Linked DNA regions of Arabidopsis thaliana. The protein of the gene in region 2 purifies or fractionates together with the protein of the main gene of each other region. This does not show direct contact. Each region holds a gene or a part of one and is shown on either strand. Other genes may lie near its edges.

The links.
Region 1: the proteins of SDH8 (region 2) and MOD1 purify together in Arabidopsis thaliana (affinity purification with mass spectrometry, with the first as the bait; one large-scale study listed by BioGRID). This does not show direct contact.

Annotation. Positions count from the first base shown.
Region 1 is NC_003071.7:2,320,192-2,325,797, reverse strand, and holds MOD1 (NAD(P)-binding Rossmann-fold superfamily protein), read right to left. Parts: upstream 3,584-5,606; 5' UTR 3,416-3,583; intron 2,952-3,415; 5' UTR 2,923-2,951; coding exon 2,643-2,922; intron 2,568-2,642; coding exon 2,458-2,567; intron 2,379-2,457; coding exon 2,323-2,378; intron 2,250-2,322; coding exon 2,117-2,249; intron 2,040-2,116; coding exon 1,965-2,039; intron 1,877-1,964; coding exon 1,765-1,876; intron 1,690-1,764; coding exon 1,638-1,689; intron 1,538-1,637; coding exon 1,486-1,537; intron 1,406-1,485; coding exon 1,348-1,405; intron 1,256-1,347; coding exon 1,157-1,255; intron 1,077-1,156; coding exon 931-1,076; 3' UTR 601-930; downstream 1-600. UniProt on the Arabidopsis thaliana protein: Catalyzes the NAD-dependent reduction of a carbon-carbon double bond in an enoyl moiety that is covalently linked to an acyl carrier protein (ACP). Catalyzes the last reduction step in the de novo synthesis cycle of fatty acids.
Region 2 is NC_003071.7:19,041,497-19,044,790, forward strand, and holds SDH8 (succinate dehydrogenase subunit), read right to left. Parts: upstream 1,739-3,294; 5' UTR 1,523-1,738; coding exon 1,427-1,522; intron 1,015-1,426; coding exon 970-1,014; 3' UTR 805-969; downstream 1-804. Other genes in the region: AT2G46380 (extra-large G-like protein, putative (DUF3133)), read left to right, coding at 1-60, 144-204, 303-526, 621-675; WRKY46 (WRKY DNA-binding protein 46), read right to left, coding at 2,180-2,696, 2,791-2,922, 3,020-3,258.

The DNA.
Region 1 (5,606 bases), about 17 Mb from region 2:
GAGAAAATTAATATTATTTTGTTTGTGGTTTGGATTTTTTTAAGAGTTAATAAAGATTTAAAACTTGTATTATTTATAGATTGACCCGCGGTGTACCGCGTTGATATTTTTGTTAGAAAGTTAGAAATTTTTTATTTTAATTAATATTATTTATATAAATAATATATTTAAGAGATAGATCATACGCCTATATTTTTATTAAATAAAAAATTGAATTTTTGCTTTTAAGATGAAATATAGATACATGCTATTTTTTTTTTTTTTTATGTATAATACTATGATACTGGTGACCAGAGGGGAAGTAATATAATAGTCATTTTTATCTCCTTTCTGGAATTCAAGAGCTTCTTATTTCTCGTTGATTCATCATGTTTTGTATTCTTCATTGTTGATGTCATGGTTCTAATTAGTAAATTATCAACCATACAGAGCTCTAAACTTATTAGTAATATTTGAGATTACATATGTAAAAAACTCAAGATGATAGCTAACGTTTTCCTCCCAAATTTAGCATATTGAGCTTCTAAGTTTATGCCAGTTTCAATTACTAAAGCCAAATTTAGATGATATGTGCAGAATTAACTGCTATTGTTTGTGAGGTTTATGTACAACTTTCAAAAGTTAGCAAATAGAGGCTGTTAGGTTTCATTAGTCTTGTAAATTGGTTTGAGATTTGAGACTGGAGGAGACAACTTACAAGAAACATGATAGTTTTTCTCACTTGCAAATTTTCAATCATAAGAGGAATAATAATCCATCACTACATATATAGTTGCTAAATGACCCAACCTAGAACCATAATTTATTCTCTTAAAGAAAGAAAAAAAAAGACAGCCGATGGGGAACATATGCCGTACATACTAACTCATAAAGAAACAAGCAAGCTCACGAAAACACGGAATTTCTCGAGTCCAGTCGTCGATCAAGACTCTAATTCTTGCTGTTAAGGTCTTTGAACACCGGGCTGTCCAGTGCAACGCCCATTGCATTCAAACCATTGTCCACATATATGGTTGCACCGGTTATGGCAGAGGCCAATGGAGATGCCAAGAAGGCTGCTGCATTCCCAACTTCATCTACATCATCGCCATTTATAAAGCGTAAGATTCCAAGAAAAAACAAGCACAAGAGAGGTGATGGTTTGAAGGAAATGAACCTGCGGTCAGTGTTTTCTGAATAGGCCCATTATTGTAGGAATACTCAATCATGGTGTCTATGAACCCAATGGCTTTTGCTGCTCGGCTTCCCAAAGGACCTGAAACCCAAACAGTAGTACTCTTTTATAATTTCAAAAGACGAGGCGTGTTATTTGTACCACGAGGCGTGTAAGAGGGAAAGATGGATTACCCGCAGAGATGGTGTTGACCCTAATGTTTGATTTCCTTCCAGCTTCATATGCAAGCACCTATGTTGAAAACACAGTTTGGACTAAGAGACTTCTAACCGATACATCTTTGAGTTTACGAAACAGAATTGTAAACTCACCCGTGTGTCACTCTCTAGTGCAGCTTTGGCAGAACTCATACCTCCACCATACCTGCACAGAATGAAAGAGATACTTGTGAGAATGTGTTGACATCGTTATGTGTGTGCATTAGTTTGTTCCTTTGAATAACTTGTGAAGAAGCCATCCTTACCCAGGAATGATTCTTTCAGAGGCAATGTAAGTAAGAGATATTGAAGCACCTCCTAAATCATCATAGAGAACCAAATAAGAAAACATATTTACAAGGAATAAAGAGACATACGAAATTTGTTACATGCCTGGGTTCATAATTGGCAGAAAATGCCTCAGCAAGGAAACAAAGGAGTAACTCGAAGCAGAGATAGCAGCGAGATAGCCTTTCCTTGATGTCTCCAGAAGAGGTTTGCTAACCTAAACCCACATGTGAACACCATTAGGAAATAGTTTGTATACAACACAATGCACTTACTGTAACCAATAATCGATACGAGTTCTCTACCTCTGGGCCATTTGCAAGGGAATGGACAAGAATGTCAATGCTTCCAAAATCTTTTTTCACACATTCAGCAGCTTCCTGATTTAAGCAACAAAAAGCATTAAGGAGTAACACATGTTAACTTGCAGGCGTGTTTGTGTATCTCTAATCTATACCTGTACGGTCCAGTTTGACGATCCTGCATATCGCTTATTCGTTTTCACATCTTCAGGCACATCTTCAGGATTGTCAAACACAGCATCCAAAGCATAAACCTTCTTAATCTCCATCAATGACCCGTCAGGCAACCTGAATATACATGGATGGAAAAATTAATGTCCCATTACATAAAACCAGACAAGATCATGTTGTAAGTCCTTACACTCGTGACTGGTCGAATTTTCCACGTCTCAAGCTTGTCTCAAATATATTAAGTGCCTAGTAGACCATCCATTCATAGGTTAGTATAATTTAGCAATGAAGGAAACTAAAAGCAGCTGAACCAAAAATGACTTACAGGAACCCAAGTCCCAACCAATATTTCAGCTCCAGCAGCAGCAAGAGATTTTGCTATGGCCCAACCATAGCCATTATCATCAGCTATACCAGCAATGAAAGCTCTTTTCCCTGTACCATTTACACTTGCTTAGTTCAGATAGCACCAAGTCTTCTCTGAATTCAAAGAAAGATATGCCAACCAACCTCTCAAATCAATTGGAAGCCCTGAAGGAGCCTTGTTTTCACTGGATTCAGACATTGCCCTTGTGGAAAAAGAAAAGGGTCTCTTACAAGTTGGAACAGCACTGTGGTTTCTCAAACATCCAAGGTTTGATAATTGGCGAGTGCATGAAAGTTTATCCCATGAAGCGTTTCCAGGATTGGCACCAACAATGTAGGTTCCTGCTTTAAGAATTTTGCTAGGCGAAGACATGCTCGGCCTTCGTGTAGCAATTTGTAAGCTTGAAGCTGCTGTAGCCGCCATTCTCACAACCTTTCTAATTTTTTCTTCTACTAAAACAACAAATCCAGAAACATTGTAAGAAAGACCACATATGAAACAAAATTTAAGAATCAGATCAAACCTAAAGCACAAGTTGACATAAGTTCACTACTTGAAACATTATAACAAGAACCCTAGTTTCCAAAATTTCAAGCACTGCATTAGAGAAATCTCAATCTGCATTTTTCTAATGATTTGGATTAGAGTTAACAAACAAAGTTCAGATTTTTCACATACGTGAGTATAGTTAACAAATTAAAGAAGCAGATCAATGCAGAGAACACGAAACCTAAACGAGAGATAATACAAGTTTCGAATTTTTTGGAGCCCAACAACATCAGAGAAAAACTCAATCAACAGAGATATAAAAACTTCCACAGAAAACCAAAACACATCTGCATTTAACATTCAGAAACTCATCAAACAAACAGAGACGCAAATGGAGAACAAGAGAGAGACAGAGAGAGAAAAAAACCTGTGAGAGCGTGAGAGATAGAGAGCGAGAGAGAGAGACAGAAGTAGGTTTGGTTGATGTGAAGTGATGATATGTAAGAGAGAGGAGCTTCGATGAGATCGAGGTGTTGTTTCTGTGAAGTTTTTAAGTGATATCAGAAGTTTTCGTCTCAATTACAAAACCGATCGGTTCTGTTATAAAAACCGGAATCCTGGTTAACTTTAAACCGTTTCTGAATTTTCGACTTTTTCTCTTCTCACTTTTCCGTTTTTTCCGACAACTTTATTAGATTAACTCAAATAATAAATCAATGCTAAAAAGTATTGTTTACAAAGATAATCATATGTGGTTATATCCGAACATTCCGTATCTAGTGGTCTGTTTTAACATTTACATTTCGAAGCATTAGAGATAAATCAAAAAAATCAAACTCATCACTATCTTCCTGAATCGTCTTTAAGTATGTAGCGAATGTTGGCCATTTTGTTGGAAAATACATCATCTTCATCAGATCTACAGTTTATAAAAAGCGTTACTTTTCGCTTTTCTTGGCCAATCATACATTTCATTGCCCAGACGAGTGCTTCCAGCACACATGGTTGGATGTCCTTCATTTGGTAAAATACAGAACCATCCCATGCCCAAAAACTTGTCACTATCTTTCCAAGAGTCATCAATGAAACAATGATATCCTGAAAGATTTATATTAACCGACTTAACTGCCACTGAGGCTTGAATTTCATTTGCAACCTCCAATCAGGCTAACGTCCAAGCATTGTCTTTGTTTTTCGCTAGTTTGAGAATATCCCTTGGATCTCGATCCATATTTTCGTGAAGTTTTTCATTTTGTGCTTTCCATATGTATCACATAATCCAAGAAAAGCTAAAAATAAAATAATATAAATGTGTTCTCCAAAATAAATGATCTATGTTTACATAGACCGATGAAGATTGGAAAATTCCTGGGACCGTTGGTATTTGTGATAATGTGCAAGTTTAGAGTGCTGGTGGGCATTCAAAAATAGTATTGATTAATTGTTTTCTCTATGACTATCTACAATGACTTATTGAAAATATTAATTCAATAGTTAAATGCTTAAAACTATGTACAATGCAAAAACATATTCAGCACCTCCACCTCAATTTTGAACATTTCACATCATTTCCTCTTTCTTCCTTACTTTAATTTTTTATCACTCCAATGTTTTTTATTAATAAAATTCAACACCCAACCCCACTATTTCTTTTATTCTTATTTTCTTATATCTTATATTTCGTGATGCATAATAATAGTTGTTAAACAAATTAAGTTAAAATATCTATTAAAACTAAATTAAATTAATTAAAAATGACATTATGGTAGAATAATATATAGAATTTATGGCAGAAGAATAAGAAAATTATGGTAGAAATGACATTTTTTTATGTGTCCAAATAAATTGAACCAAGCCTCCATTTATAGAGTTTAAACTAGATTTTAACCCGCGGTACACCGCGGGGACAATTTATTTTTTAAAGATAGTATATATATAAAAATTTGTAAATTGTATCTATCTATAAAATATTTTTATTTTATAGTTTACAACTGTTATTAAGTAACGTCCTGCCAAACCCGTCCCGCAAAACCCATCCTGCAAAAAAAACATTTATTTTATTAATGTTGATCTTATTTATGAATCATTGTCTAAATATTTTAGTCGATGCGGGATGTTGAACCCACACATTTTTCGCTAATTGGTTAATATATGTTCATTTTTAAAATTTTGAATCACAAAATATGACGGATTTTTTTTTGAGATTTTTTAAACTATATATTATATAATGATGTTAAATTTTTTGATATATTAAACTTTTTGTTTAAATATTAATAATGTTTTATAAAGTTTAAATATATAAATAATAATATTTAAAAATATATATATTTTTTGCCTTTTAGGTAATGACATAATAACTCTAAAAGCAAAGATTTAGAAGATTTAAATCGTTAATTAAATATTTTAATTTCTAAATAATTAATGCCAATAGCATGACATTGTAAATAAGTTCAAATACAGGGTTTATTTATTTAGACAAAAAAACGTTTAGTAAGAATAATATTTATTTAAACAAAAAACTTTGTTTTAAAATATTGCTAACAAATACGTTTATGCTAATTTTAAGGGATTAATGTGAAGTTTGTTTGGATTAAATTTGATTGATAATGTAATTGACA
Region 2 (3,294 bases):
TGAACGTCTGGTGAAAATGGCAGAGAAGCAGGCTGGACCAATCCGACCAGGAAACTACTGGTACCAGGAGATCCTTCAATCTCATAAATTTTCCTCACCTACTAGCCCTAATGATTCTCTTCTATTCTGTTGCTTGTTACCAGGTACGACTACAGAGCTGGATTCTGGGGAGTACTGGGAAGTCACTGCCTTGGAATATTACCGGTAAACATCAGCTAACAAATCATATTTGTCAATCTCTTTTCGTTTTTTTCAGTATGTGTACTAAAACTGGCGAAAGGTGACTCCTTCCTTTCTTACAGCCTTTCATTGAAGAGCTCAATTACCCAATGCCAGAGAATTGCGCTGGCGGAACCACAAGAGTCTTTGTGAACGGAAGAGAGCTTCACCAGAAAGACCTGCGCTTGCTCACTGCCAGAGGTCTTCCACGGGATAGAGATCGATCCTACACTGTTTACATCTCAGGTAGAGTCATAGACGAAGATACCGGTGAAGAGCTAGATAGTCTTGGTAAACTCGCCCCAACGTAAGCTTTCACATAGCCTATAACACCTCTCTTTTTCGCCTTACCTTTCAAGTTCTCATGTATCTGAGTTTGGTCTGTGATGCTACATGGTTAGGGTCGATAAGCTAAAGCGTGGGTTTGGGATGAGAGTTCCGAGGAGAGCTACATGAAGAAATATAAAGAGCCTCTCCATTGTGTTGTTGTATTCTCTGAACATCCGTGTTAGATTATCCTAACATTACTAGGCTAAACTTTTTTCTAACTTTACAGAGCCTTATGATCAATGTAAAGAATGAGAAAGTGGAAAATGAAATATCATTATTAGTAACAAGAATCTAAAAACACCACAAAGATCTGTGTATTCAAAAGCTTACAAAAGCATTATTGAGCTTATACACTGCAAGAACTAAATTGTATCAAATCACATGATCACCACATTTTGTAGCATCTCTCCATTTGTCTTCTCACTTGTTTGTTGAGACATTCTTCTTCTGCTCCCCTTTCGTTACCTGATCATCAGACACCAAAAGTCAGACTCCAAATCTAAATCTTTGGATCAAAGTTACCAACAAAAAAAGATGAAATTGGTTTATGTATTCAAACATATAATCTCCAGAAGATCGAGAAAGAAGCTTAGTCGCCTGATACGGATCAAATTCATAACCTTTATCAACACACAAATAAAGGCAATCCTGATCCATCAACGAAGACTATGAAAGAACACAAATTTTCAATTAAAGGTTGTTCCTTTCGTGCCTCAATGTTTCAAAAGGCCAAATTACTAACTCATCAAGAGTATTTGTGATCCGAATAAGATCAAAGGAGGAGCGCAACACATGAAAAATTGTGAAGAAGGAGAGAAAAAGCAGCCAATGAAGATATAGATCTAACGACCAAACAAGAGAAAGAGAAGGAGAATACGTTTTGCAAGACGAATCCGACGGCGACGGCAGCAATTACCGCTCCGCCGAGGATAACCGGTGGGCCGGACAGCAAACTCCACTTTCGGTAAATCATCTTTTCTCCTTCTTCTTCTTCTTCTTCGGAACTTTCGTTTTCGTCTTCTCCGACTATCTGAAAGATTCTTATGATGATGAAATCGACAGAGTCTCTTCTCGAAGCTGGGCTTGATAGTTTTTATCTGGGCTCATGGCCCATAATGACGATATGTTCTTTTCTTAGACAAAAAGTTGTAAATGAAAAAATTATATTCTTTTGACTGGAATTAATTTTTACACTGCTTGAAAATTTGAAAGATGGAAGAGTTTTCCACTTTTTAATCTGTTCATCCTAATAATTGCATCACTTTTACAAAGCGTTTTCATAAGTCAATCATACTAATGTGACATTTGAAATGTCTTTCTATCAATTTAATCATAAGAATTAACAACTTTAACTCACAAATAAACCTTATATAAAATCCTTTCTTTATTAATTGTCATAAAGTACAATCCAACTTCATAGGGAAATCATAATTCATAAACCCTGCTGAAAAACAATGAAAAAGGCCAAAATCATGTAACTTTAGTCCTATAAGCCAATTTTTATCCATCGGCAAAAATAATTTTTACTATACTAATAAGTAATAACTAATAACCCTTAAATTAAACTGACCATCTATAATTACTGCCATTAAGAGAGAGACATTACATTCACCAAATCAATTATTCAAAGCTACGACCACAACCAATCCTGTCCGAAATCGATAATATTGTCCAAAGACGAGAAATACGAATCTGCAGTTTCGGAATTCTCAACAGCAGCAGGTGCAGATAAAACCTCGCTGGTAATTGCAGACCCTGATGTTGCAGGAGAAAGATCTTCCACGAAATTTCCCAAGAAAAGGTTACTTTTCCACACACCGTTCTCAATCTCATGGTTAGAGAAAGAAAACGTTCTGAAAATGTTCTTCTTGTTCTCCAGATCTTCAAGGCTTATCATCACTTCTTCGGACTTGGTCGGTTTCATGTCTTCCGATTGCTCTGTAACATGTACTCTGTTTCCTTCAAAGATGTTCGTGTTCGTCAATGAAACAGAGAAGTTCGTCGTCGTCTTCGGGGATGTGATGTTGTTACAAGTGTGGTTTCCGAGATACTTCACTTCGAAAAGGGAAGGATCTGTGTCTGATTTCTGAACTTGCTTCACTGCTAAACAGTCTTGTGTGAATCGATGCGTGCATCTGTAATATGCTCTGTAAACAAAAACAGAGACATAGGATTTAGCAAATATAGCAAAAGAAAAATTAAAACTTTGAAATTCCCAGATGATGAATGAATGATAATCACCTAGGATTTTTGGATCCATGAATCTCTTTTTGCCCATATTTTCTCCAGCAGTGACCATCATCAATAGAGCCATTTTCTTGTTCTGTTGCAACAAAAACCTTAACTTTCTCTGTGTTCTTCTCCGATACTTTCCTGAAAATCACCAAAAAAAAAAACAGAGGAATCAGACACATGAGCACAGTTTGGAACTGAAAGAGAGACAAAAAACCAATCTTTTAGCTCAATTTACCTCTTTTTGAAGACGTTTTTAGAATCTTTTCCATCGATCTCAAGGCTTCGCTTAAGGATGTTCTTGTCTTGGTTGAAGCTCAACATGAAAATGGCATTCTGGTAAATACGGAGGATATCAGAGATCAAGGTTTTGTTGGAATCGACAGAAGAAGTGTGTTTGAGATTGTTCATCAATCGGTTAGCAAGCTCTTTCCCTAGTTCCAATTCGTTGATCACAAGTTTCTCTTCCATCATCATCTTTGCATTCACTTCAGAAAATTAAGAATCTTTTCT